3 linked regions of the Macaca mulatta genome follow. The protein of the gene in region 1 binds, or shares a complex with, the protein of each later gene. Links are inferred from orthologs where the notes say so. Each region holds a gene or a part of one and is shown in the gene's direction. Other genes may lie near its edges.

What was found.
Region 2: the proteins of NELFE (region 1) and NCBP2 are in contact, whole or in part, in a crystal structure (PDB 5OOB), measured with the Homo sapiens proteins. The link is inferred for Macaca mulatta from reciprocal best matches to the Homo sapiens genes NELFE and NCBP2. Residues at the interface, in NP_002895.3 of Homo sapiens: Lys361, Arg362, Gln364, Ile365, Val366, Tyr367, Asp369, Tyr372; in NP_031388.2 of Homo sapiens: Phe49, Tyr50, Thr51, Thr52, Glu53, Gln55, Lys68, Ile69, Ile70, Met71, Leu73, Lys77, Lys78, Thr79, Ala80, Asp107, Glu121, Gln124.
Region 3: the proteins of NELFE (region 1) and NCBP1 are in contact, whole or in part, in a crystal structure (PDB 5OOB), measured with the Homo sapiens proteins. The link is inferred for Macaca mulatta from reciprocal best matches to the Homo sapiens genes NELFE and NCBP1. Residues at the interface, in NP_002895.3 of Homo sapiens: Arg362, Ile365, Val366, Tyr367, Ser368, Asp370, Val371, Tyr372, Gly379, Phe380; in NP_002477.1 of Homo sapiens: Tyr461, Lys511, Lys557, Ser558, Ser560, His561, Ser564, Lys568, Ile609, Arg610, Gln612, Cys616, Lys647, Met648, His651, Glu705.

What each region holds. Positions count from the first base shown.
Region 1 is NC_133409.1:150,354,847-150,362,743, forward strand, and holds the end of NELFE (negative elongation factor E), read left to right. Parts: intron 1-554; coding exon 555-624; intron 625-726; coding exon 727-872; intron 873-1,969; coding exon 1,970-2,044; intron 2,045-2,166; coding exon 2,167-2,204; intron 2,205-2,370; coding exon 2,371-2,714; intron 2,715-2,826; coding exon 2,827-2,971; intron 2,972-3,134; coding exon 3,135-3,189; intron 3,190-3,433; coding exon 3,434-3,536; intron 3,537-4,856; coding exon 4,857-4,954; 3' UTR 4,955-5,169; downstream 5,170-7,897. Other genes in the region: CFB (complement factor B), read right to left, coding at 5,225-5,380, 5,650-5,699, 5,781-5,913, 6,012-6,112, 6,311-6,387, 6,485-6,635, 6,833-6,968, 7,107-7,204 and 1 more. UniProt on the Homo sapiens protein: Essential component of the NELF complex, a complex that negatively regulates the elongation of transcription by RNA polymerase II.
Region 2 is NC_133407.1:2,487,225-2,495,176, reverse strand, and holds the start of NCBP2 (nuclear cap-binding protein subunit 2), read left to right. Parts: upstream 1-2,832; 5' UTR 2,833-2,880; coding exon 2,881-2,958; exon of another isoform or gene 2,959-3,984; intron 3,985-5,164; exon of another isoform or gene 5,165-5,314; intron 5,315-5,907; coding exon 5,908-6,089; exon of another isoform or gene 6,090-6,128; intron 6,129-7,952. Other genes in the region: protein NCBP2AS2, read right to left, coding at 2,365-2,664. UniProt on the Homo sapiens protein: Component of the cap-binding complex (CBC), which binds co-transcriptionally to the 5' cap of pre-mRNAs and is involved in various processes such as pre-mRNA splicing, translation regulation, nonsense-mediated mRNA decay, RNA-mediated gene silencing (RNAi) by microRNAs (miRNAs) and mRNA export.
Region 3 is NC_133420.1:60,742,970-60,750,280, reverse strand, and holds part of NCBP1 (nuclear cap-binding protein subunit 1), read left to right. Parts: intron 1-329; coding exon 330-440; intron 441-1,418; coding exon 1,419-1,483; intron 1,484-2,240; coding exon 2,241-2,303; intron 2,304-2,549; coding exon 2,550-2,624; intron 2,625-5,160; coding exon 5,161-5,264; intron 5,265-7,311. UniProt on the Homo sapiens protein: Component of the cap-binding complex (CBC), which binds cotranscriptionally to the 5'-cap of pre-mRNAs and is involved in various processes such as pre-mRNA splicing, translation regulation, nonsense-mediated mRNA decay, RNA-mediated gene silencing (RNAi) by microRNAs (miRNAs) and mRNA export.

The sequences.
Region 1 (7,897 bases):
TGCAGAGATACGGGGGAGGGCCTAGTTTAATAGCCATTAAACATCAGAAAATCTTACTAGCTTTCAGCTATGAATAATCTGCACCTCTTACCGCGTTGCTAACTCACTCAGTTTATTTTTATTTCTCAGACTATAAGCTTCTTGAGGGTAGAAACAATGCTTTATCCTCCTGGATATCCCTGTTACAAAGTCATGTCTGGGCCTTATTCAATATGCAGGAAATAGATGGATGAAGCCTCCAGGAAAGGCACATAGACTTATACTTACTTGCAGCTTATATCCTAGGATTCTAGTCCATGATCAAATTCTTTGTCTTCAACCTCAAAAATGTAACACTCTGGAAAACCTCTGGGTTCCGTGGTTTGGTTAGATTAGGAATTTCCGGCATCATTCATGATCTAGGGGACCAGAGGCAAGAGGCAGAGCACATCAATGCACCACTCTAAAGACATCAAGAAAGATGGTCCCTGGAGTGATGTGCCCAGGGGTCTTGGGAGAGGAACCGGCTAGGGGCTGGCCCTCACTGACCTCTCTCCTCTCACCCTTGTTCCCAGAAAAAGGCATTGCTGGCTCTGAAGAAGCAAAGTAGCAGCAGCACAACCAGCCAAGGCGGTGTCAAACGCTGTGAGTGACAGGGGAAATGGGGATGGACTGGAAGTGGGCAGCATGGGGCTGACCTTCATCATGGCCTGGTCAACATAATGCCTCTTCCCCTTATCACTCCAGCACTATCAGAGCAGCCTGTCGTGGACACAGCCACAGCAACAGAGCAGGCAAAGCAGCTGGTGAAATCAGGAGCCATCAGTGCCATCAAGGCTGAGACCAAGAACTCAGGCTTCAAGCGTTCTCGAACCCTTGAGGGGAAGTTAAAGGTGAGCACAAACAGAAGGATTGTTTAGAGGGCATCCCTCCAAGTTGGAATGTAGATGGGTTTGGGGAAAAATATGCATACTCGAGCACTGGCAAATTGCTGTACCATTCTGAGTTTTGCCTCTCAAATATTAAATGAAAAAACTAGATGACTCCTGAATTCTCCATTTTACAAATTTTGTAGTTCTAATCCACTTTGGATTGGAGCTCTTGGAATATGTCGCTCTAAGGGATGGAAAGGGCAGAAAATGTTATCAGATTCAAGAGAGGTTGAAATAAACTGAACATATAACATATCAAGTCACTTATAAAAAGTATCAGCCAGGCGTGGTGGCTCATGCCTATAATCCCAGCACTTTGGGAGGCCAAGGTGGGCAGATCACTTGAGGTTAGGAGTTTGAGACCAACCTGGCCAACATGGTGAAACCCGTCTCTACTAAACATAACAAAAATTCGCAGGGCATGGTGATGCACGCCTATAGTCCCAGTTACTGAGGAGTCTGAGGCCAGAGAATTGCTTGAACCCAGGAGGCACAGGTTGCAGTGAGTGGAGATCGCACCACTGTACTCCACCCTGGGCGACAGAGCAAGACTCTATCTCAAAACAAAACCAAAAAGCTGCAATGGCAGGTGTGGCAGTGGCTCATTCCTATAATTAGAGCACTTTAGGAGGCCAAGGTAGGAGGATTGCTTGAGCCCAGGAATTTGAGACCAGCCCTGGCAACATAGTGAAACCCTATCTCTACAAAAAAAAAAAAACAAAAACAAAACAGAAATTAGCCAAGCATGGTAGAGCGCATCTCTAGTCTCAGCTACTAGGGAGGCTAAGGTAGGAGGATTGCTTGAGCCTGGGAGGTCAAGGCTGCAGCAAGCTATGATTGCACCATTGCACTCCAACCTGGACAACAGAGCAAGACCCTGTCTCAAAAAATAAAAACAAATAAATAAAACCACATAGTCAAATAAGAAATGTATATAGTGTTAAAAGGAAAGAAGAGATCAGAGGAGATCTAGAAGAGGGTGAGGGAAGAGGAACATCTCTGTTCCATGGTTGGGCAGCCTCCTGCTCCACACTGAGGTAGGTCTCTCCCCTCTCCAGGACCCCGAGAAGGGACCAGTCCCCACTTTCCAGCCGTTCCAGAGGAGCATATCTGCTGATGATGACCTGCAAGAGGTAAAGGCTTCTAATTTCTGTCCCTGAGGGGTTGGGGATGGAGGAACATGAGAAACTAACTTATTTTGGACTACATGTTAGCAACTGGGAATCATCTTAACTGTTCTTGGTCTCTTTTACAGTCATCTAGACGTCCCCAGAGGAAATCTCTGTATGAGAGGTTAGAGAGTAGAGATAAGACTGGGCCCACTTGGCGGGGTTGATTGCCTGAGTCCTTGGGAGGTTTGGGCTGTAGAAGCTGTGCTATTGAGGGAATATTGAGTCTCCACAGGGTCCAAGGGGAGAAGGTAAAACCCCCCTTTGATCTTCAGTCTGCATCTCCCCAGCTTTGTGTCTTCTAGTGATCGACTTCGAGAACTAGGGCCAGATGGAGAAGAGGCAGAGGGCCCAGGGGCTGGTGATGGTCCCCCTCGAAGCTTTGACTGGGGCTATGAAGAACGCAGTGGTGCCCACTCCTCAGCCTCCCCTCCCCGAAGCCGCAGCCGGGACCGCAGCCATGAGAGGAACCGGGACAGAGACCGAGATCGGGAGCGGGATCGAGACAGAGACCGAGAGCGGGACAGGGATCGGGATCGGGATCGGGATCGAGATCGAGATCGAGATCGAGACCGGGAACGGGACAGGGATCGGGAGCGGGATCGAGACCGAGACCGAGAGGGTCCTTTCCGCAGTGAGTGATCTTGGCTGGAGGTCAAGGTGACCTTAACTGAGGTTTATGTGGGTCCTACTAAGTGAAGTGTGGGATGGACCATGTCTTGTGACTGTGATTCCTGCTCCCAAAGGGTCGGACTCCTTCCCTGAACGGCGAGCCCCTAGGAAAGGGAATACTCTCTATGTATACGGAGAAGACATGACGCCTACCCTTCTCCGTGGGGCCTTCTCTCCTTTTGGAAACATCATTGACCTCTCCATGGACCCACCCAGAAAGTAAGGATGACGACAGGGCATGATGAGAAGTCCTGGGCGAATCCTGGGGTGTGAGACTTGAGGGAGGAAGCTGCCCTCCCGGCAGCCGCCTGTGATCGCTGGGTTTGGTTGGGTCCAGAAGAGCCCCTTGGCTCTCCACTGACCCTGTTTTTTCTTATCCCAGCTGTGCCTTCGTCACCTATGAAAAGATGGAGTCAGCAGATCAGGCCGTTGCTGAGGTTGGAACTTCGCAAATCTGTTCTTCCCATCGCCTCTGCTGTTCTCATGTGTTCTCATCAAAATACTAGATGCCAGGAAGAAGTTGGTTCCTCTTGATAAAGTCTCTCCCTATTCACACAGAAAAACTTACATTCTCAGATTCCTTATTCAGTCTACTCCTAGGATAGCAACTCCTGGAATAGCTTCTTTGGTGTATCTGTAATGTTTTCCTCCCCATCCTCTGCCTCCCCTCTTCTGCTTTAGCTCAACGGGACCCAGGTGGAGTCTGTACAGCTCAAAGTCAACATAGCCCGGAAACAGCCCATGCTGGATGCCGCTACTGGCAAGTCTGTCTGGGGCTCCCTCGGTAAGAATGGGATTTTCTTTCCCGTCCTCTCCCCTACAGCACACTCCTTTTGGTTCCCCCACACATCCTTGGGTTTCCTAGAGATTATCGAGGTCAGAGTGTGTGCAGAGGCTGTGGGAATGGGAAGGAAAATTTCAGATCATCTGTTAGTTAGAGGTAAAGAAAGGAGAGAAAAGGATTGAGAACAGCTTCCAAAGCAGCGACTGGAACAGGGAAGAAAATGGGAGCTGGAGTGAGATTGGTGAGAAAGATGAGTGTCTCATGGGGCTTGTTCATTTTGAGATGGAGTAGAGTGAATTTCGTAAGTATTTGAAATTAGGGGTCTGGAACTCAGGTGTGAGGTAAGGAATGAAAACATAGATTAAGTCATCTGCATCACAGGGTGGCTCCCCGATCATGAGGGAGACTGATTTCGGAGAAAAAAAACGACCCAGGACTAGACTTGAGGAATACTCAGGGACTATGTTAGGAAACAGGACTGTCCACCTTACGCCCCACGTGTCTCCAGCTCTCCTGACACGTTAGGCTAACGTTGAGCCTAACGTTAGCAAAGGAGACAGGAGGAGGGGTCAGAGGGCTGGGAGCAGCACCAGAGGGGCCTGGGCCACTGAAGCGAAAGGACACATGCTTTGAGAAAGAGGGAGTAGCCAGCAGTGTCAAGGTACAGAGATCACAGGATGAGAAGTGGGTGGGAGAGATTCTCTCTAGGTCAAGGGTGGTGGGGATGGAATCTTTGGATGGGGTGAAGAGAGTAACATGTCTGGTGGAGGGAGGAAAAGAGGAAGGGGAAGAAACAGCTAGAGGCTTGAGAGAGAATGGTGAGGGCCAAAGCTACATGCTGGATGAGTTCTGGTGGAGCTAGTAGCATTCCTTAGTATGAGTAACCCATTTACCTGAAAGTAGATTTTCCTGGGAAGGGAGTGAGCAGAAAGAAGGACTCAGAGCAACAGTGGCCTTTCAGGCAAAAGAAAGGAACTAGAGTTGACCAGCATGTCAATAAAGGGCTACAGAGGTTTTCTAGTTTTTAGCTTCTGACATACTGACTATAAGTAGTGGGTTAATATCATTCATATATCTCAACAATGACATTTGGGATTTTTCTAAGAACAAAACATTCATCAAAATGTCCACTTACACTCTCCTTGGCCATGGGTTGGCACAAAGGAGCTAAGGAAGACAGGCCATCCTGGCCACCAGAGGGCAGCGTGGAAACTGGGTTTCCAGGGGCCAGCAGCCAGGACTGAGGTGGTCAGGAGTCAGCCTCAGGGTCTGATCTATGATCTCCTTTAGACCTTAACTGTTCCTCTTCTCCCTCCCTAGCTGTCCAGAACAGCCCTAAGGGTTGCCACCGGGACAAGAGGACCCAGATTGTCTACAGTGATGACGTCTACAAGGAAAACCTTGTGGATGGCTTCTAGGGAACAGAGCTGGATTCCTTGTGCCTCAAATGCCCCAATGCTGGTCTCAGTAAAACACTGAGGTGGAAGCTTACATATCTCCCTCAGCCTCTGGTTTTTCAGCACTTGGGATTGGGGTTAAGCCTTTAAAAATGGGTGTCAGGTTTGATCTCAGTGTAACAACATGGCCAGTGCCCGTTCCCCACTCCCTTGCCCCAAAAGGATCTGGAACACAAGTGTTGTCGCAGCTGTTTTAATTCAATCCCGCGCCCCTGTCCAGCAGGAAACCCCTTAGAGAAAACCCAAATCCTCATCTTGGAGTTTCTCCTTCAGCCAGGGCAGCACTTGGAAGAGGTTGACGTGAAAGTCTCGGGCGTGAGCAGGTACCTGCTTTTGCCGCTTCTGGTTTTTGCAGACATCCACTACTCCCCAGCTGATGACACCAACCTGCAGAGGCAGTGGGGTGCCATGGATCATTCATAGAATTCCTAATCCTGGAAGCATGACTGTTCCTGATTGTGTCTTAGCTGACCTAAAGGAATCAGGCTAGGGACCCAGCTCAGCCTCATTCTTGACACACACAGGCCAGACATGCAGTCCTAAAGTGAGGCAGGCTCTGCCCACCTCGAATTACTAGCCACATGCATTGTGCTTTCCTGCTTTGGGGCCCATGCTGACCACTTGGCATCTCCCCAGATAGGAAAGGGAGGACTCACTTGAATAAAACGACTTCTCTTGTGAACTATCAAGGGGCCGCCAGAATCACCTGCAAGGAGAGGAGAAGCTGTAGGGAAAAGGACTCTTGGCCCTCGGGCACTTGGAGCACAACCAGAGAGCGTTCTCTCACCTCTGCAAGTATTGGGGTCAGCATAGGGACTCACTCCTCCAGTACAAAGGAACCGAGGGGTGACCACCTCCGAGATGTCCTTGACTTTGTCATAGCCTGGGGCATATTGAGCATCTCTCTCACAGCTGCCTTTCTGTAGGGGAGGTGGGAAGCATGGAGAAAGGTAATGAACAGAGGTGGCTTAGGAAGGATTAGGGCCTAGAGTGCCTCCTTAGGATGCCCATTTCTCACCTTATCCCCATTCTTGATGTAGACCTCCTTCCGAGTCAGCTTCTTCTCCTCCTCAGACACAAACAGAGCTTTGATATCCTGTGCAGGGAGCAGCTCTTCCTCTGGACAAATAGACTGCATCACTTCAGCTGCTCCCACCACTGTCATCTCCCTATTGACTTTGTCACTCAGCAGATGTCCCCTAAGCCCTTCCTAGTGCTAGGTTCTGGGCCAGGCATCGTCTCTTCCTATTGCATCTCCCTCTCATGCCTCACTTGTCTCGGGATCTCATCCTTATCCTCCCCCCTAGTATGTCTTACTCTGTTGCTGGCAAGTGGTAGTTGGAGGAAGCCTCAAAGCTCGAGTTGTTCCCTCGGTGCAGGGGAGACAAATGGGCCTATAAAGGATGGAGAAAGAACAGCAAACTAGGCCTGCTCCTCACCCCAGTCCTCCAGCCTTTCCCAGCCTTTCCTCAGGGATCTGGATGCTCTCACCTGATAGTCGGGTCATAATTCAACTTATTCTTGAGCTTGATCAGGGCAACGTCATAGTCATAAAATTCAGGAATTCCTGCTTCTTTTTTCCCGCTAATGTTGTAGTCGGGGTGAAATAGGACTTTTTCTATCTCCAGGTCCCGCTTCTTCCCTTGAAGTAGGAGAATAGGTACCACCTCTTTGTGGGCAGCTTCTTGCCTCTGGCCCCATGTCATTCCTAACTTCAAGTCTTCCCCATCCCTGACTGGTCTGGGGTGCAAGGGATGGGGCTGCATTGCAGATGAGTGGAGTGTGGGATCTGTAGAAAGTGGGAGGTGTTGCCTGGAGGGCGTAGGTGCAGCCCGGGACCTTCAGTTGCATCCTTACCCACGCTGACCTTGATTGAGTGTTCCTTGTCGTCCACAGTAAAACAATGTGCTGCTGTCAGCACAAAGTACTCAGACACCACAGCCCCCATACAGCTCTCATGTCCCTTCGAAGGGCGCTGGGAACAGAACAGTAGAAAGGGAAAACTCAACTTTCACAAACCACCATCTCTTACGGCCATTTTGCCCTTCCCCTACTCCCATTTCACCTTGACCTCACCTCCCCCAAGTCCTCACTACTGGGATTCTGTGCTTACAGTGACTGAGATCTTGGCCTGCCATGGTTGCTTGTGGTAATCGGTACCCTCGCTGTGTTCCCAAACCATGCCACAGAGACTCAGAGACTGGCTTTCATCTGGCAGAGAAGGAGAATGTGCTGAAAACTTGGAACACTTCATTCCCAAACGGCAGCAGCCTTTGGGTAGAAGTCTGTGGGGGGCAGAGGCCCAAAAGGAGAAAGGGAAAGGCCACAGGTATTTGTTTCCTCGTGTTAGGAGAAAACTGCTGTGGTGGAGTGAAAAGGGAAAGAACTTGGGATCAAGCTATCAGAGGCCTGGCTGTTTTCAAGCCCAGCCCTGTTGCTAGCTTGCTGCCCCTTGACCTCCTTTGGCCTTTGTTTCCACATGTGTCAAATGTAGGACAATAGAAAGATCTCTGAAGTGCCTAGAGCTCTGTGATTCTAAGGTTAAGAAGCAAACAGTGCCAGGAAACAAGAATAGTGATACTGAGGTAGAGAAGGAGGAATGAAGAAGGCTTTCCAGGCAACTAGAGCTTCAGGGGTAGAGGAAGAATGAATTATTTCAGGGGAAGCTGAGGAGAGTTGCGTTCTTGATTCCCTTGTGTCTGCCTACCAATCATTTGGAAGAAAACGTCTTCCAGGTTTTCCATATCCTTGACTTTGAACACATGTTGCTCATTGTCTTTCTTGGAAGCCAAAGCATTGATGTTCACTTGGTCCACCAAAGGTCCAACCCCAAACACATAGACATCTGAGGGAGAAAAAGGAAGGATGACGGTCCAAGCCCTGAGGAAGTAGGGTGCTGGGTCC
Region 2 (7,952 bases), on another chromosome or scaffold:
CTGTTCCTGAGAGGTGGTGGGAAACTCTCCAGCCATTTCTGCACCTTGTCCTTAAGAGTCATTCTCCTGACTGGGCGTGGTGGCTCACACCTGTAATCCCAGTACTTTGAGAGGCCAAGGCGGGCAGATCTCGAGGTCAGGAGTTGAGACCAGCCTGGCCAACATGGTGAAACCCTGTCTCTACTAAAAATACAAAAATTAGCTGGGTGTGGTGGCGGCGCCTGTGGTCCCAGCTGCTCAGGAGGCTGAGGCAGGAGAATGGCTTGAACCCAGGAGGCGGAGGTTGCAGTGAGCCGAGATCGCGCCACTCACTCCCGCCTGGGAGACACAGCGAGACGGTCTTGGGGGGAAAAAAAAAAAGTCATTCTCCCAGATTAGGGAGCCAGATGTTCTCCCTCCTTAGAAGAACTGTGGGTCTCAAGCCCTCCCATCCTGCCCCAGAGAGCAGGGAACACACCATGCTCAGCTAGTGTCTGGTTACCAGCCTCAATTTTTCCGATGGCTTCAAGCTTCTAGATTGCATGATTATCTGTGTTGCCTAATTAGAAATGATCAGATCTGGGTGTGGTGGCTCACACCAGTAATCCCAGCACTTTGGGAGGCAGAAGCAGGAGAACTGCTTGAGACCAGGAGTTCAGGACCAGCCTGGGAAACAAAATGCAATGCCATTTCAACCATAAAACACAAAACAAAACAAAATTGTGGCTGGGCACGGTGGCTCATGCCTGTAATCCCAGCACTTTGGGAGGCTGAGGCAGGCAGATCACAAGGTCAGGAGATCAAGACCATCCTGACCAACATGGTGAAACTCCATTTCTACTAAAATACAAAAAACTAGCCAGGCATGGTGGCGCACATCTGTAATCCCAGCTGCTCGGGAGGATGAGGCAGGGGAATCACTTGAACCCGGGAGGTGGACGTTGCAGTGAGCCGAGATCACGCCACTGCACTCCAGCCTGGTGACAAAGTAAGACTCTGTCTCAAAAACAAAAACAAAAAAACCTGTTTTTAATTAGCTGCGCATAGTGTCATGGGCCTGTAATCCCAGCTACTTGGGAGACCCAGGGAGGAAGCTCGATCACTTGGCCCAATAGGTCGAGGTTGCAGTGACAGCTAGTATCATGCCACTGCACTCCAGCCTGGGCAAGAGTGAGGCCCTGTCTCAAAATAATAAATAAATAAATCAGAAATTTAGCTAGGAGCTTCAAATGACAAGACATTTGTATATACAGTGGATTTCCTAATCATGGGTCCACTAACTTGCTGGACCATAGTCTTAGTTTCGTATGCCTGACCCTCTAAAATGAGGGATGAGTCCAGGTAGCTCATTCCATGGCAGGCAGCAGTCTTTTTTTATTTTTGAGACAGGTTCTCGCTATGCTGCCCAGGCTGGTCTCATCTCAGGCTCATGCGATCCTCCTTCCTCTGCAGTGGCTTGGATTAGACACAACTGCCACCACGCCTGCTCCTAGGCAGTAGTCTTAATGCCTGATGATGGGGGGTTGGGGAAGGAAGGAAAGTATCAGGGTAAATCTTGCAGAGCTGTGTTAAGGACTTAGGCCCTGGAATCAAATGCCTCTGCTCACATCCCACTCTGCAAGACTTTGGGCAACTTAAGCAGCAGCCTCTGTTTCCATCGGAGTGGCTCTTGCCTCTAATCCCAGCATTTTGGGAGGCTGAGGCAGGACGATCACTCGGACCCAAGAGTTCGAGACTACCCCATCTCTACAAAAAAATCCAAAAAGTAATCTGCTTGCTCATGCGGATGTGGTTGTAAGGAGTAAGCGAAATAACACGCAGAGTGCAATGAGCAAGTCCCAGCACAAAATACTCATTTCATAAAATACGTGTTTATTATTGCCATAGGCCTACAGTCCCCGGTATTCTCAATATATCTTGCCTGAGAAGTATCACACTCATGCCTATTAACCAGCTCATACATTTTTTTAATCAAAAGAATTTGGCAGTTGTAGGGTTGTCTTTTCATTCACATCGTCCCTGGAATTAAGTGTCCTGCTACACCAGTGCAGATTCAGCAGCATCTGTCAAGAGTGTCAGTTCCATCTGCAGAGGAAAGGCTCTCTGGCTTCGGTCCGTGGCTCTCCGCGGGTGCGGTGTCTGGACCCAGCCTATCTTCATCTCTGTTAGGCTTCGGGGTCTTTCTCCACACGGTGTCTTGTCCAATCAAAGGACTTCAGCGGAGCCTGCGGTCTGGCCTAGGCTCTTCTGCGTGGGATGTCTGCAGGCCAACAATCCGAGTCGGGGTTCGAAGCCGCGCGCAGTGCCCGGAACGACCCCTCCACGTCGAGGCCAGTGTAGAGCCCGGAAGGCAAAGTAAAGGCCTCGGCCCCGCACAGCCCAGGCTTAAATGTTTGCGCCAGGGCCCCTCTGGCTACCTGGTGGTGGCCCCGAACGGCCACGGAGGCCGCGGCGTAGCTCCTGGGTGAAGGTGTCTCTGAATCGCCCAGCGCGGCGGCACAGGGAGCCTGCGGGGCCAGCCGCGAGGTCCTGCAGGCGGCGGGCCGCGTCCTGGCCCCGCAGCTGGGCCTGCAGCAGAGCGAAGGCCGTGAGCTGCGCCGCACGTCGGATAGGCCGAGACTCGGACAGGCGTTCCACCAGCTGCGGGCTGTGCAGCAGGGCCGCCAGCAGCCGCCGAAGCACCATCTTCCCCAAGCGCCCGGGAATCCGACCTCGCCGCCCTAGTCTTCCGCCCGGCGGCGCCCGACCCGGACGTCATCTGCGCCCGCGCAGCTTGATGACGACACTGCCGCCCTCGGATTGGGTCCAATGAGATGCGCGCTTCCGCGCGTTTCCGCTTCCGCCACGGCAGACGCCACCTCGTGCCGGGAATCGCCGCGTCCTCGTCCGCTTCTCTGCGCTATGTCGGGTGGCCTCCTGAAGGCGCTGCGCAGCGACTCCTACGTGGAGCTGAGCCAGTACCGGGACCAGCACTTCCGGGTGAGGGAGGCCGGGCCGCGAGAGGGGAAGGCCCTGGGCCAGAACGCTGAGAAACGGTTTGCTCTTGTCTCATTGTGTCGCCTCCCGTTCTGCTGCAATCCCCAAACGCCAAGTGGGGCCCCGGTGCCGGCTGGGGAGGCAGGGAGCGGGTGCTGGGGGGGCGCTTGGACATCACTGAAGCCGCTGGCTCTGGAAGACAGGGCATTTGAGGCTCGCTTTCCTGTTCCCTCCAGCCGCTCCCTGCACCCGAGCCGGTGCCGAGAGGCCTGAGCGCTGATGGTAGTGGCGGCTCCCGTTTCCAGGTTGTACCTCGCAGATGGCTGCGTAACAAGGGCGGGGTGCCCTTCTCTCTCCCAGAGTGTGCAGAGGCGCCTTCTTGATGCAGATTCGGGGCTTTTTACGTTCTTTTTTATTTTTTTTATTTATTTTATTTATTTTTTTTTTTTTTGAGACGGAGTCTCGCTCTGTAGCCCAGGCTGGAGTGCAGTGGCCGGGTCTCAGCTCACTGCAAGCTCCGCCTCCCGGGTTTATGCCATTCTCCTGCCTCAGCCTCCCGAGTAGCTGGGACTACAGGCGCCCACCACCTCGCCCGGCTAGTTTTTCTGTATTTCTTAGTAGAGACGGGGTTTCACTGTGTTAGCCAGGATGGTCTCCATCTCCTGACCTCGTGATCCGCCCATCTCGGCCTCCCAAAGTGCTGGGATTACAGGTGTGAGCCACCGCGCCCGGCCTACGTTCTTTTTTAAATCGGCGAAGCAGTGCCCTTCTCTGGGAGGATGGTCTTAGGGAAGCTGTACGCGGTGCGTGGGAGACACAAGTGAAGTCCTCACTCCGCCCTCGGGGAGGCTTCGGAGTGGGGAGGGGGACCCGCCAAGCTGGGCACTTTGAGGGTGTTTGGATGTGAAGATCGGAGAATTGCTGGATTTCAGAAGAGAGAAATTTTTAGTCCGGACTATATCACAGTATGTTTTGTGGAAAAAGGGGAGGCCGCAGATATACAAAGTAGGCTTTTCAGTATCAGCAAAGGTAGGGATGGAATACGGTTGAGGGGTGGCGGCGCGGGACTCATTAACCCGGTTATTTAGTAAACATTTGTTGAGTGCTGTCACCAAAGCCTTGTGCTAAACCCTGGGGGGAAGGGAAGACAGTTTCTGTACTCTGCGAGCTCATAATCCCCTGTAGTGTGGATTATCAAAGAATCTAAGGTGGAAGTGAGTTAAAAGAGAGGCTGTGAGAATTCAGAAAAAGGGGAGAAATCCCCTTGTGACTGGGAAATGAGGGGGCGCATATAGCAGAGGTCAGTGTGGAGAACGTGTGAAATATGTTACTAGAGTAGGGAAAAGGAAACTTTGACGCCAAATTAGGGAAGCTCTGAAATTTATTCAGTCGAGGCCGGGCACGGTGACTCATGCCTGTAATCCCAGCACTTTGGGAGGCTGAGGCGGGTGGATCACGAGGTTAGGAGATCGAGACCAGACTGGCCGAGATGGTGAAACCCCATCCCTACTAAAAATACAAAAATTAGCCGGGCGTGGTGGCGGCGCCTGTAATCCCAGCTACTCGGAAGGCTGAGGCAGGAGAATTGCTTGATCCCGGAAGGTGGAGGTTGCGGTGAGCCAAGATCGCGCCACCGCACTCCAGCCTGGGCAACAGAGCGAGATTCCTACTTAAAAAAAAAAAAAAAAAAAAAATTCGGTCAATTTATTTTATTTTTTGAGACAGAATCTCGCTCTATTGCCTAGGCTGAAGTGCAGTGGCGCAATCACGGCTCATGCAGCCTCAACCTCCTGAGCCCAAGTGATCCTCCCCACCTCAGCCTCCTGAGAAGCTGGGACCACAGGCTCTCACACTACATCCGGCTAATTTTTTGTAGAGACAGGGTCTCCCTGAGTTGCTCAGGCCGGTCTCAAACTCTGGGACTCAAGCGATCCACCAGCCTGGGCTTCCCAAAGTGCTGGGATTACAGACGTGAACCACTGACCCCGGCCAGTCCAGGTTTTAGATGCTTAAGTGCCAGGCATGATTTGCACTTTTTTTGAGACGGGGTCTGGCTCTGTCACCCAGGCTGGAGTGCAGTAGCACGATCTCGGCTCACTGCAAGCTCCGCCTCCCGGGTTCACGCCATTCTCCTGGCGAGCTGGGACTACAGGCCCCGCCACCACGCCCGGCTAATATTTTTGTTTTTGTTTTTGTTTTTGTTTTTTAGTAGAGACGGGGTTTCACCGTGTTAGCCAGGATGGTCTCGATCTCCTGACCTCGTGATCCGCTCGCCTCGGCCTCCCAAAGTGCTGGGATTACAGGCGTGAGCCGCTGTGCGCGACCCTGATGAGCCATTTTGGATCCAGGGATTTGTCAGGTGTGTTGGATGAAGCCCAGTTATATTCTTATTTCTGGCTTCATCGTGTCATCCCAGTTTGGAAGCCCATTAGGAAAGTGAGCTCTGTTTTGTTTTTAGTGATCACTACATTTTTTTCCTCAATTCAGAAAAAATACATGAGCATGTAAAGCATCAGAGTTGTTGCTTTAAACAGTCTCTATGGGGTTATTAAAAGGGGACTCTCTGGAAATCCACTTATTTCTCACTACAGAGTATAAAAGGGCCCTTTGTCATACATGGGTCAAGGTCCAGAGTTTAACCTTGGTTGAAAGGATGCACTGCTGAGAAGATGGCGTGTGCAGGGAAAAAAGCCGCTTGTGTGGCAGTCTGGCGTAGGGTGACTTTGCTGTATGCGGTATAACTTTTGAGCCTTGTCTCTACTAAGAGTCTGGACTTTGCATAAGTGCTTCACAGGATGTGAACATCTCCCTTTTTTTGAGCAAGGGATTTGTGGTAGGCTGGGATGAGAGAATTTGATTTCCAAATCAGAATTAATGAATGTTTCTACCATACTTAGAAATACTATTTAAGCAAGGCTCTGAAGTTGCTTTTGTCTCTCTTTGAAATTCTAGGGTGACAATGAAGAACAAGAAAAATTACTGAAGAAAAGCTGTACGTTATATGTTGGAAATCTTTCTTTTTACACAACCGAAGAACAAATCTACGAACTCTTCAGCAAAAGTGGTGACATAAAGAAAATCATTATGGGTCTGGATAAAATGAAGAAAACAGCATGTGGATTCTGTTTTGTGGAGTATCCTTCCTGTGGATGGAATGTGGCTGCTGAACTGGGGTAGAGCTGAGAATAGTAGCTCATAATCCTCCCTGCACTTGCCCCTACGTTTTCCCTCGTCTCCCTCCTACCTTCTGTCCAGTGTCACTGCTCTTTTTTTTTTTTGAGACAGAGTCTGGCTCTGTCGCCCAGGCTGGAGCGCAGTGGCCGGATCTGAGCTCACTGCAAGCTCCGCCTCCCGAGCTTACACCATTCTCCTGCCTCAGCCTCCGGAGTAGCTAGGACTGCAGGCGCCCGCCACGTCGCCCGGCTAGTTTTTGTATTTTTTTTTTTTTTTAGTAGAGACGGGGTTTCAACGTGTTAGCCAGGATGGTCTCGATCTCCTGACCTCATGATCCGCCCATCTCGGCCTCCCAAAGTGCTGGGATTACAGGCTTGAGCCACCGCGCCCGGCCGTCACTGCTCTTATACTATAAAGCTGACACTAGTTACATTCTCTCCTGAAATCCATGCTTTATGGTTGTTTAAGAAAAAGTTTTTCAGGCCGGGCGCGGTGGCTCAAGCCTGTAATCCCAGCACTTTGGGAGGCCGAGACGGGCGGATCACGAGGTCAGGAGATCGAGACCATCCTGGCTAACACGGCGAAACCCCGTCTCTACTAAAAAATACAAAAAAAACTAGCCGGGTGAGGTGGCGGGCGCCTGTAGTCCCAGCTACTCGGGAGGCTGAGGCAGGAGAATGGCGTGAACCCGGGAGGCGGAGCTTGCAGTGAGCTGAGATCTGGCCACTGCACTCCAGCCTGGGCGACAGAGCGAGACTCCGTCTCCAAAAAAAAAAGAAAAAGTTTTTCAAGAATGTTTGCCCTTCATTAAAAAAAAAAAAAAAATTCCAAAGAGCACAGTGAAAATAAAAAAACCTTGTACTGTTCTAAACCCCTAATTCCCTTTGCCAGAGGCAGTTACCAGTTTCTTGAGCATCTCTCAAGAAGTAACCTGTGGGTGTGCAGTAGTGTACTTCATGTGCTGTTTTTAAAATCATTTATTATTTATTTATTGTTCCATTTCAGCACATGTAGGTCTGTTTTCAAAATAGCCGTATAGCTGGGCATGGTGGCTCGTATTTGTAGTGCCAGCTACTCAGGAGGCTGAGGCTGGAGGATCAGTTGAGCCCAAGGGTCCAAGGCTACACTGAGTTGTACTGTGCTCCTGCCAGGGTGACAGGGCAAGACCCCATCTTTAAAGAAAAAAATGTTTTAATAGCTATATCGTAATTCATTACATAGGTGTGTATAAGCTGATTGTATAGGTACAAACCAAAACTATTTACTTGTGATCATTTTCTTACTCAGACTCTTTTAAGCATTGTACCTCCTGGATTTATTCTGTGTTCTTTTTACTCTCTGTTTTGGTCATTCAATTTAGTATTCTGAGAAATTTTGCAGACCCAATCTAATGTATCTTTTGAGTTTTTTCCTGTGTCCTGAATTACATTTGTTTCAGATGAAATTTTTCCTTAAGTGTCTGGTGATCCCTGGATTTCTGCTCATAATTAAGGACAAGAATGCTGACTCACTGGACCCAGGCAGGGCATCTCTCCCAGATTGCTGGCTTGCCTTGGGGATATGTGGGTTTCCCAAATGCTAGAATGAAAAGAGATTTTATTTTGGCCTGCTAACATCAAAGACACTAGTTCCTCCAGATGGTTTATTCACAACACCATTGTCTTATTTTTATTTGTCTGGGATTAAATGTCCTCCCCTTTAATTAAAGGGAGCTCTCTCTGATGAAGTAGGTTTGGGGACTGCTACCCTGGTGATACCTTGAGTCTTTCCTTTAGTGAAACGCAGCGCAATTCCACATGCACTGTGACCCTCTCTTTATTAAG
Region 3 (7,311 bases), on another chromosome or scaffold:
CCACTAAAAATACAGAAAAAAAAAAAAAAGAGCTAGCTATGGTGGCATGCACCTGTAGTCCCAGCTACTTGGGAGGTTGATGTGGGAGGATCACTTGAGCCTAGGAGGTCAAGGTCAAGGCTGCAGTGAGCTGAAATTGTGCCTCTGCACTCCAGCCTGGGCGACAGAGCGAGACTCCGTCTCAAAAAAAAAAAAAAAAAAAAAAAAGTAATTCCATTTTCATTATGAATGCCATGGAGTTAGAGCTCAGATTTAGAATGTTAAGGTCTTTCTAATAGAAGTGCAAAGATAGCAGTTGGATTGAATTATGACTCATGATACTTTTGTAGGTGATCTTTGCAGAGCTGTTTCAACTTCCAGCACCCCCTCACATTGATGTGATGTACACAACACTCCTCATTGAACTGTGCAAACTTCAACCTGGCTCTCTACCCCAAGTTGTATCCTTTCCTTTGTTTTTAAACTTAATCTCTTTGGCCGGGTCTTAAAAGATTATTAAATATTTCTGCTTTGGGGTTTAAATTTTGTAGGTAAAAAATGTGGCTTTTGAAGTGTGTTATGTGTGTGTGTATTACATGTATGTATTTTTATGTCTGTAAATACATATGTACCTATAAATATGTAGATACATGCTTCACTGTTTGGGTCAGAAAGTTCAAAAATAGACAACAATGAAATTTGTTGCCTAGATTGACTTTTCCTCTCACAAAAGATTTCTCTGAAGCATGTGATGCTTGCTGTTTGATACAGCATTTTTCCCACAGTAGAACTACTTTCAGAGTTGGAATTAATCTTCTCAGACCCTGCCACTGATTTATTAGCTAGGTTTCTATGATATTCTAAATCCTTTGTTGTCATTCAGCAATGTTCCAAGGAGTGGATTCCATCTCAAAAAACCACTGTCTTTGCTCATCCATTGAAAGCAGCTTTTTATTTTTTAAAGTTTTATTATGGGATTGCAGCAATTAATAATAATGGAAAAGCTTGCTTTATTGTAAGAATTACCAGTATGTGACACAGACATGAAGCAAGCATATGCCATTGGAAAAATGGTGCCAGTAGACTTGCTTGTTGCAGGGTTGCCACAAACCTTGTTTGTTTAAAAAAAAAAAAAATGCAATTTCTGCTAAGCACAATGAAACAATGTATGCCTGTGCGTATGGAGGAGCATGGGGAAATTTGGGATCCGGTGAAAATATTATCTTGATTTCACGAGTGTGTAGAGGTCAGATTAATTATACATCACTGATATTTCAAAGCTGTAAAAAAAAAAAATCAAAAACAAGATCGATTGTATGAAAAGATGTTCAACATTATTAATCATTATAAAGACTTGAAATGTTTTATTTCTATTCTTGTCTATTACAACTTATTTGGGGTAAAAGTGGAGAATAGTTTTCCTTATCCTAAATTCACAGCTTGCACAGGCAACTGAAATGCTATACATGCGTTTGGACACAATGAACACTACCTGTGTAGACAGGTACAGTAATTGCTTTACTGCTGAGCTGAGTTAGCAGCTTTTACTTCCTGTACTTCATAAAGGAATTTGATCAAGACATTTTTAAGAATTTCCATGTTTAGTTTTTTTTCTTGCCTCCCAAAATAACCTTTGTACAATAACCAGACTCATACTTGTTTAATGTAACATTACGTTTTTTGATGTCCATGCTATGGTTTTCTTTAATTTCATTCTCTAGTCAGGTATCAAAGACTATACTTTGGCTCTGCCATTTATAAAATGTTCTATCTGCAATTTCTTTTTTTTATTTGAGATAGGGTCTTGCTCTGTCAGTCACGCAGGCTGGAGTGCAGTGGGATGAGCATAACTCATTATAACCTTGAACTTGTGGGCTCAAGCAATCCGCCTGCCTTAGCCTCCATCCTTGGTAGCTGGGATTACAGGCATGAGCCACTGTACCTGGCCTACAATTTCATCTTTTTTTTCTCTTCAGTTTCATCATCGTTTATATGAGGAAAATAATACGTACCTTGGAAGTTGTGAGAATTAAATAATAAACACGTTAGGTGCCCACACAAAACAGATACTAGAATTGTATCTGTCATTGACCTAAAAAGGATAAAGACAGTTTGCAGAAGATACAGCTGCATGTAGGGGAATATGCTTTTCATTAACTCTGTAAAATCGGGTTTTATCTGTTTGAAGGCTTATATAAGTTTCTGTTCTAAATCCCAGCCATTCTTCCTTTTTCTCTCCCCACCACCCCTTGTCTACATAGGTTTATCAATTGGTTTTCTCATCATCTGAGTAACTTCCAGTTCCGTTGGAGCTGGGAAGATTGGTAAGTGATGGTGTGTTTTATCCTACTTTTCTGTAGTCAAAAAACTGCTAATTTTTAAAACTGTAACATAAAAGTGACTGAAATATTTAATTTCTTGGAAACTATTTGTAGTTAAGTACAAATAGTTACAAGTGCAATTGTAACTTAAAACTTGTAAGTTGTTATAAGTTCACAGATAATTGTAGTACAAATGAGTGTAAGTGCAGATGATACATAAGAATTGATAAAACTACATTTCCTCCTTAGGTCAGATTGTCTTAGTCAAGATCCTGAAAGTCCCAAACCAAAGTTTGTAAGAGAAGTTCTAGAAAAATGTATGAGGTAAGTTTTTTGTGTCTTCTCCTTTGTTTAGGTCTTTTAACTTCTTTGGGAGGATTTCTTTCTCTTCTCTGCACTTGTGATATGTGTTCAGAATATTGGATTCAAAATCTACTTACTCATCTTCCATCCCATTTTTAATCAAGATTTAGGCTAAAAAAATTAGGCAACCATGCCATACAGATCCCATGTGAATTTAAGCTGGTAAGTTCTTTTAAAGATGTTACAGGCTGGGTGCAGTGGCTCACCCCTCTAATCCAGCACTTTGGGAGGCCAAGGCAGGTGGATCGCATGATGTCGGAGTTCAGACCAGCATGGCCAACATGAGGAAACCCTGTCTCTACTAAAAATATAAAAATTAGGCGTGGTGGCACACACCTGTAATCCCAGCTACTTGGGAGGCTGAGGCAGGAGAGTCGCTTGAGCCAAGATTGCGCCTTTGCACTGCAGCCTGGCCGACAGAGTGATACTCTCATCTCAAAAAAATAAAATTAAAAAAAAAGATGTTATATATGAAATGAATTCAGATTTATAGAAAAGTTGGCACAACAGTACCAAGAATTCTGTATCCTGTTCACCTAGATTCCGTAGCTATTAACATTTTATCATGTTTGCTCTCATGCTCACTCCCTTTTCCTCTCTCTCTAGAGACCCGTTATGTTGGTTTTCCTTTGAGAATCAGCTGCATACCCAGCTGATGTAACAGCCCATTATCCTTTAATGTTCCATTACATATCTTCCCAAAACAAAACCACTCTCCTACCTAGCAAGCATACAGCCTTCTAGATCAGGAAATTAGCTCTGGTACAATCCTACCACAGAATTCACAGGTGCTGCTGAAATTTTGCCAGCCATCCCAACGTCTGTATTTCCTGTCTAGTCTATAATTTTTTTTTTTTTTTTTTTTTTGGAGACAGAGTCTCACTCTGTCACCCAGGCTGGAGTGCAGTGGCGCGCGATCTCCACTCACTGCAAGCTCCGCCTCCCATGTTCACGCCATTCTCCTGCCTCAGCCTCCCAAGTAGCTGGGACTAAAGGCGCCCGCCACCATGCCTGGTTAATTTTTTGTAGTTTTAGTAGAGATGGAGTTTCACTGTGTTAGCCAGGATGGTCTCAATCTCCTGACCTCGTGATCCACCCGCCCGAGCCTCCCAAAGTGCTGGGATTACAGGTGTGAGCCACTGCGCCCGGCCTGGTCTGGAATCTTATCCAGGTATATGTGTAGTGTTGAGTTGTCATTCTCTCAGATTCCTTCAGTCTTGAACACTTATTATTTTTCTCTCTTTGTGTTTATACCAGTTTGAAAGAGTCTAGACCTTACTTGGATTGCTCTGATATTTCTCATGAGCAAATTGAGGTCTTAAATTGTTAATGCTCTTGGTGTGTCACATCTAGAGGCACATGATTCCCACCCCTGGTGATGTTAATCTTGATCCACCTGGTCATGTCAATATCTGCCAGCTTTCTCTACCTTAACCTCACCATTTTTCTCTTTAGTAGAATTGATCAGTATTTTGTGGGAGATATTTTGAAGTTTTACTCTTACTCTGTTCTTCATCAGATCTCCATCCTGCTTTTAGCAGCTACCAGTAAGATGGTTGCCAAGTGATGATTTTCTCATTCCATTATTTTTTCTGCATTTATTAATGGGCCTTCTGTAAGAGCTGTCCTTTCTCCCCCATTTATTTATTCCTTTATTTATATATCAGTGGGGACTAATTAATTTATATTTCATTCGCTGGGTTATAAACTATGAGGATCATTTATTTTGATGCCCAAATTGTCCCTGATATGTACATGAGGAGTCCCGGTAAGCTCTCTCTGTTTTTTGTTTGTTTTTGTCTTTGTTTTTAATGTCCCCCGCCATTCATTGAGCATTTCCTTATTTTCTAGAACAACATGTTTAGGATCATCTTGCGTATTTCTCCTAAATACCATATTCCGTTAGTAAAGGACTAATTAGTAAAGGACTAATGGAATACGGTATTTAGGAGCCAAGATCTGGGCACTTGATATGCTCATTGCCATTGGGGTGTCATTGGTTCTAAGCCTCTTGGTGGACACACATCCATCCATCCATAACTATTTTTATGTCCACCTGTGTGTATATATGCCTCAATTTCCAACTCAATACCTTATTTCTACACTTCTTCTCTACCATGGTTTGTAAATACCTTCTCAGGCAGTAAGAAACTTGGCTCCCATTATCCTCAATATTTATTTATTTGATACAATGTAGCCAGTCTCCAAAGTGTACGGACTGTCATCTTCACCACACCCCATCATCACCCCACATCCTTGGCCACCAGGCTCATGAGCTCACTCACCCATACCTCAGTTGCAAGCCAGTAAGTTCCGCAGTATGCCTGAGATTTGGTGTGCTGCCTTAGACAAAAACTCAAAGGATTTTTTTTCCTTTCACTCTTGGTTGTCAGCTGAGTTCAAGTTGTTGGAGATTGTGACTTTCTAGGTAAGTTGGGTGTTACCAAAGAATGGGACTGATAAAAGATATTTTCTGAGGCTGTTATTTGTATTGTAGGTTGTCTTACCATCAGCGTATATTAGATATTGTTCCTCCTACCTTCTCAGCTCTATGTCCTGCAAACCCAACCTGCATTTACAAGTATGGAGATGAAAGTAGCAGTAAGTAACGAAACAAATCCCTCTGTCTTTAAAAGGTACCAGTTCAAATATATTTAAATTAGTTGTTTAAAGTGGAGAAATTGAACTTTTTCTTTTCTTGGGGTTTATATTTCCTGTATTCGAAGGGTAGTCTAGCATTAGCCACTGTTTTATTTGCCCTGTCATCATTTTGAGGATTTGGTTGTGATAAAATTAATTACTACTGGCTTATCTTTTCTTTCTCTTTTGAATGTGTTAAGTATAGCAAGATGAATTTATAGTTAGATCTTACTAAACTGCAAATGCGTATTTGTCATGGTGATGGAGATTACTTGAATTAATTATCTTTTTCAGGTGTGGTATTGAGAACATAGATGTACATATTCTGTGGCAGTATGCCTTTAAAAGTAAATTCTTAATTATTATTTTCTTACCTTTTGGTCACATAATCTCTGAAATTGCACCATAAATCAGGGAGTGTAATTTGATGTGCCATTTTGCCCTTTGCACAGTATTTACACTTAATGTAGGTAGAGTATTATACATTGTTGATCACTGGTGGAGTTAGGTGTGGAGTTTTTTCCAACTTATCCTTTGCAGATTACACTTAACACAGCCCCTCCATGATCCTTCCATTTCATGTTGTGTAGAGGTTCTTTGCATCTCACAACTATCTGCTGTTCCTTGCTTTTCATACCATACGCCTGTTTCTCCACCTCTGTCTGTGATTGTACCTGTTTCCTTTGAAATAAACTGTGTTGGTCCTGGTACATTTCCTATTTAATTATGTCAACTCTGAAAAATAGATATGATTATCAAAACTACAATGAGGAAATGGCTTCCAAGAGGTCAAACTAGAATGAGATTGCTTCTGAGTGGTGGAGCCCAAATTCAGGCGTAGGTGCACTGCTGAGTGGCCATGCCTTAGCCACTGTGCTTTCTGGCAGATCAAAGGTTCATGCAGCACTTAGAAGTGCCAGGTTTTGAGTTTTGTCTTGTACTCGTTCCGAGAATGATAAAGTACAGTCTTTGCTGTCAGAAAGCTCAGACTTTTGTTGAAGATTAAGCTTTCTTTTTCCCCATAGGAATAACTCAGCCTAACATTTCAAGGCCTTCATAACCATTGTTCCTACTTTGTTATTTTTCACTTCTCCCGACATGGGCCTCTACTTCTCCCAGGTCCATGTCCTTTTTTATTTTTTCCATACTGTTTGTTCTTGGCTTTGCTATTACCCCAGTCTGGAAAGTCCTTTCTAGCTCCACTTGCTTTTCTCCTTCTAGATTCTAGCCCAAGCTCAATAGCTGTAAATACTTTTTAACCTTTAGTAAGCCAGTTTTGTATTGCTCCCTGGCTGTGTCTAATGTGAATATCTTGGTTCTCCAGCTGGAATGTAGACTGGTGACAGGGGATTCTGTTTTTCTTCGCCTTCTTTCTTTTAGAGAAAAAGCTCACAGCAGGTGTAATATGACCATCCTCACGTGACTGTTGTAATTTACTTCATTCATTCCAGTAACTCGTACTCCATGACAGGATTGCCTTTTTTGTTACCTCTTTGTCTACCTTACATTAAAAGCAGATTTCTTGTTGCTCTGGTGATGCCTTACGGTGTATATTAGCACAAATTTTTATAATAAGGACTTAACTGATACCAATAGTAAATACAAGGAGTCCTATCACATGAGCATCTGACTTACATAGATTCAAGCTTGTGGATTCAGCAAAAAAAGAAAAGTACAAAAACAAAAACCTCTCTAAACTTGGCAGCCATTACCTTGTTGAGGCTGAGACTTCGTTTCCATGGTCCCAAGGAAAGAAAGAGGAAATGGGTGTTGGCAAAATGAAAGAGAAGTACGTTGGTTCTGGGCTTTTGAGCCCGGGAGAGTTGAGGGCATTAAAAGACAGTTTAACTGTGTCCACTCTTCTCCTTACCATTCATCTTGAGGATGATCAGCACCTTGTACTCTAAATTTTACTTAGCTAAGTGTCCTTAAGGAATTGTTGAAATGAGAATTGTCCCTTTTTAGGTGAAAAACCATTAACCTATTAGAAAAAGCTTCCACATGTGGT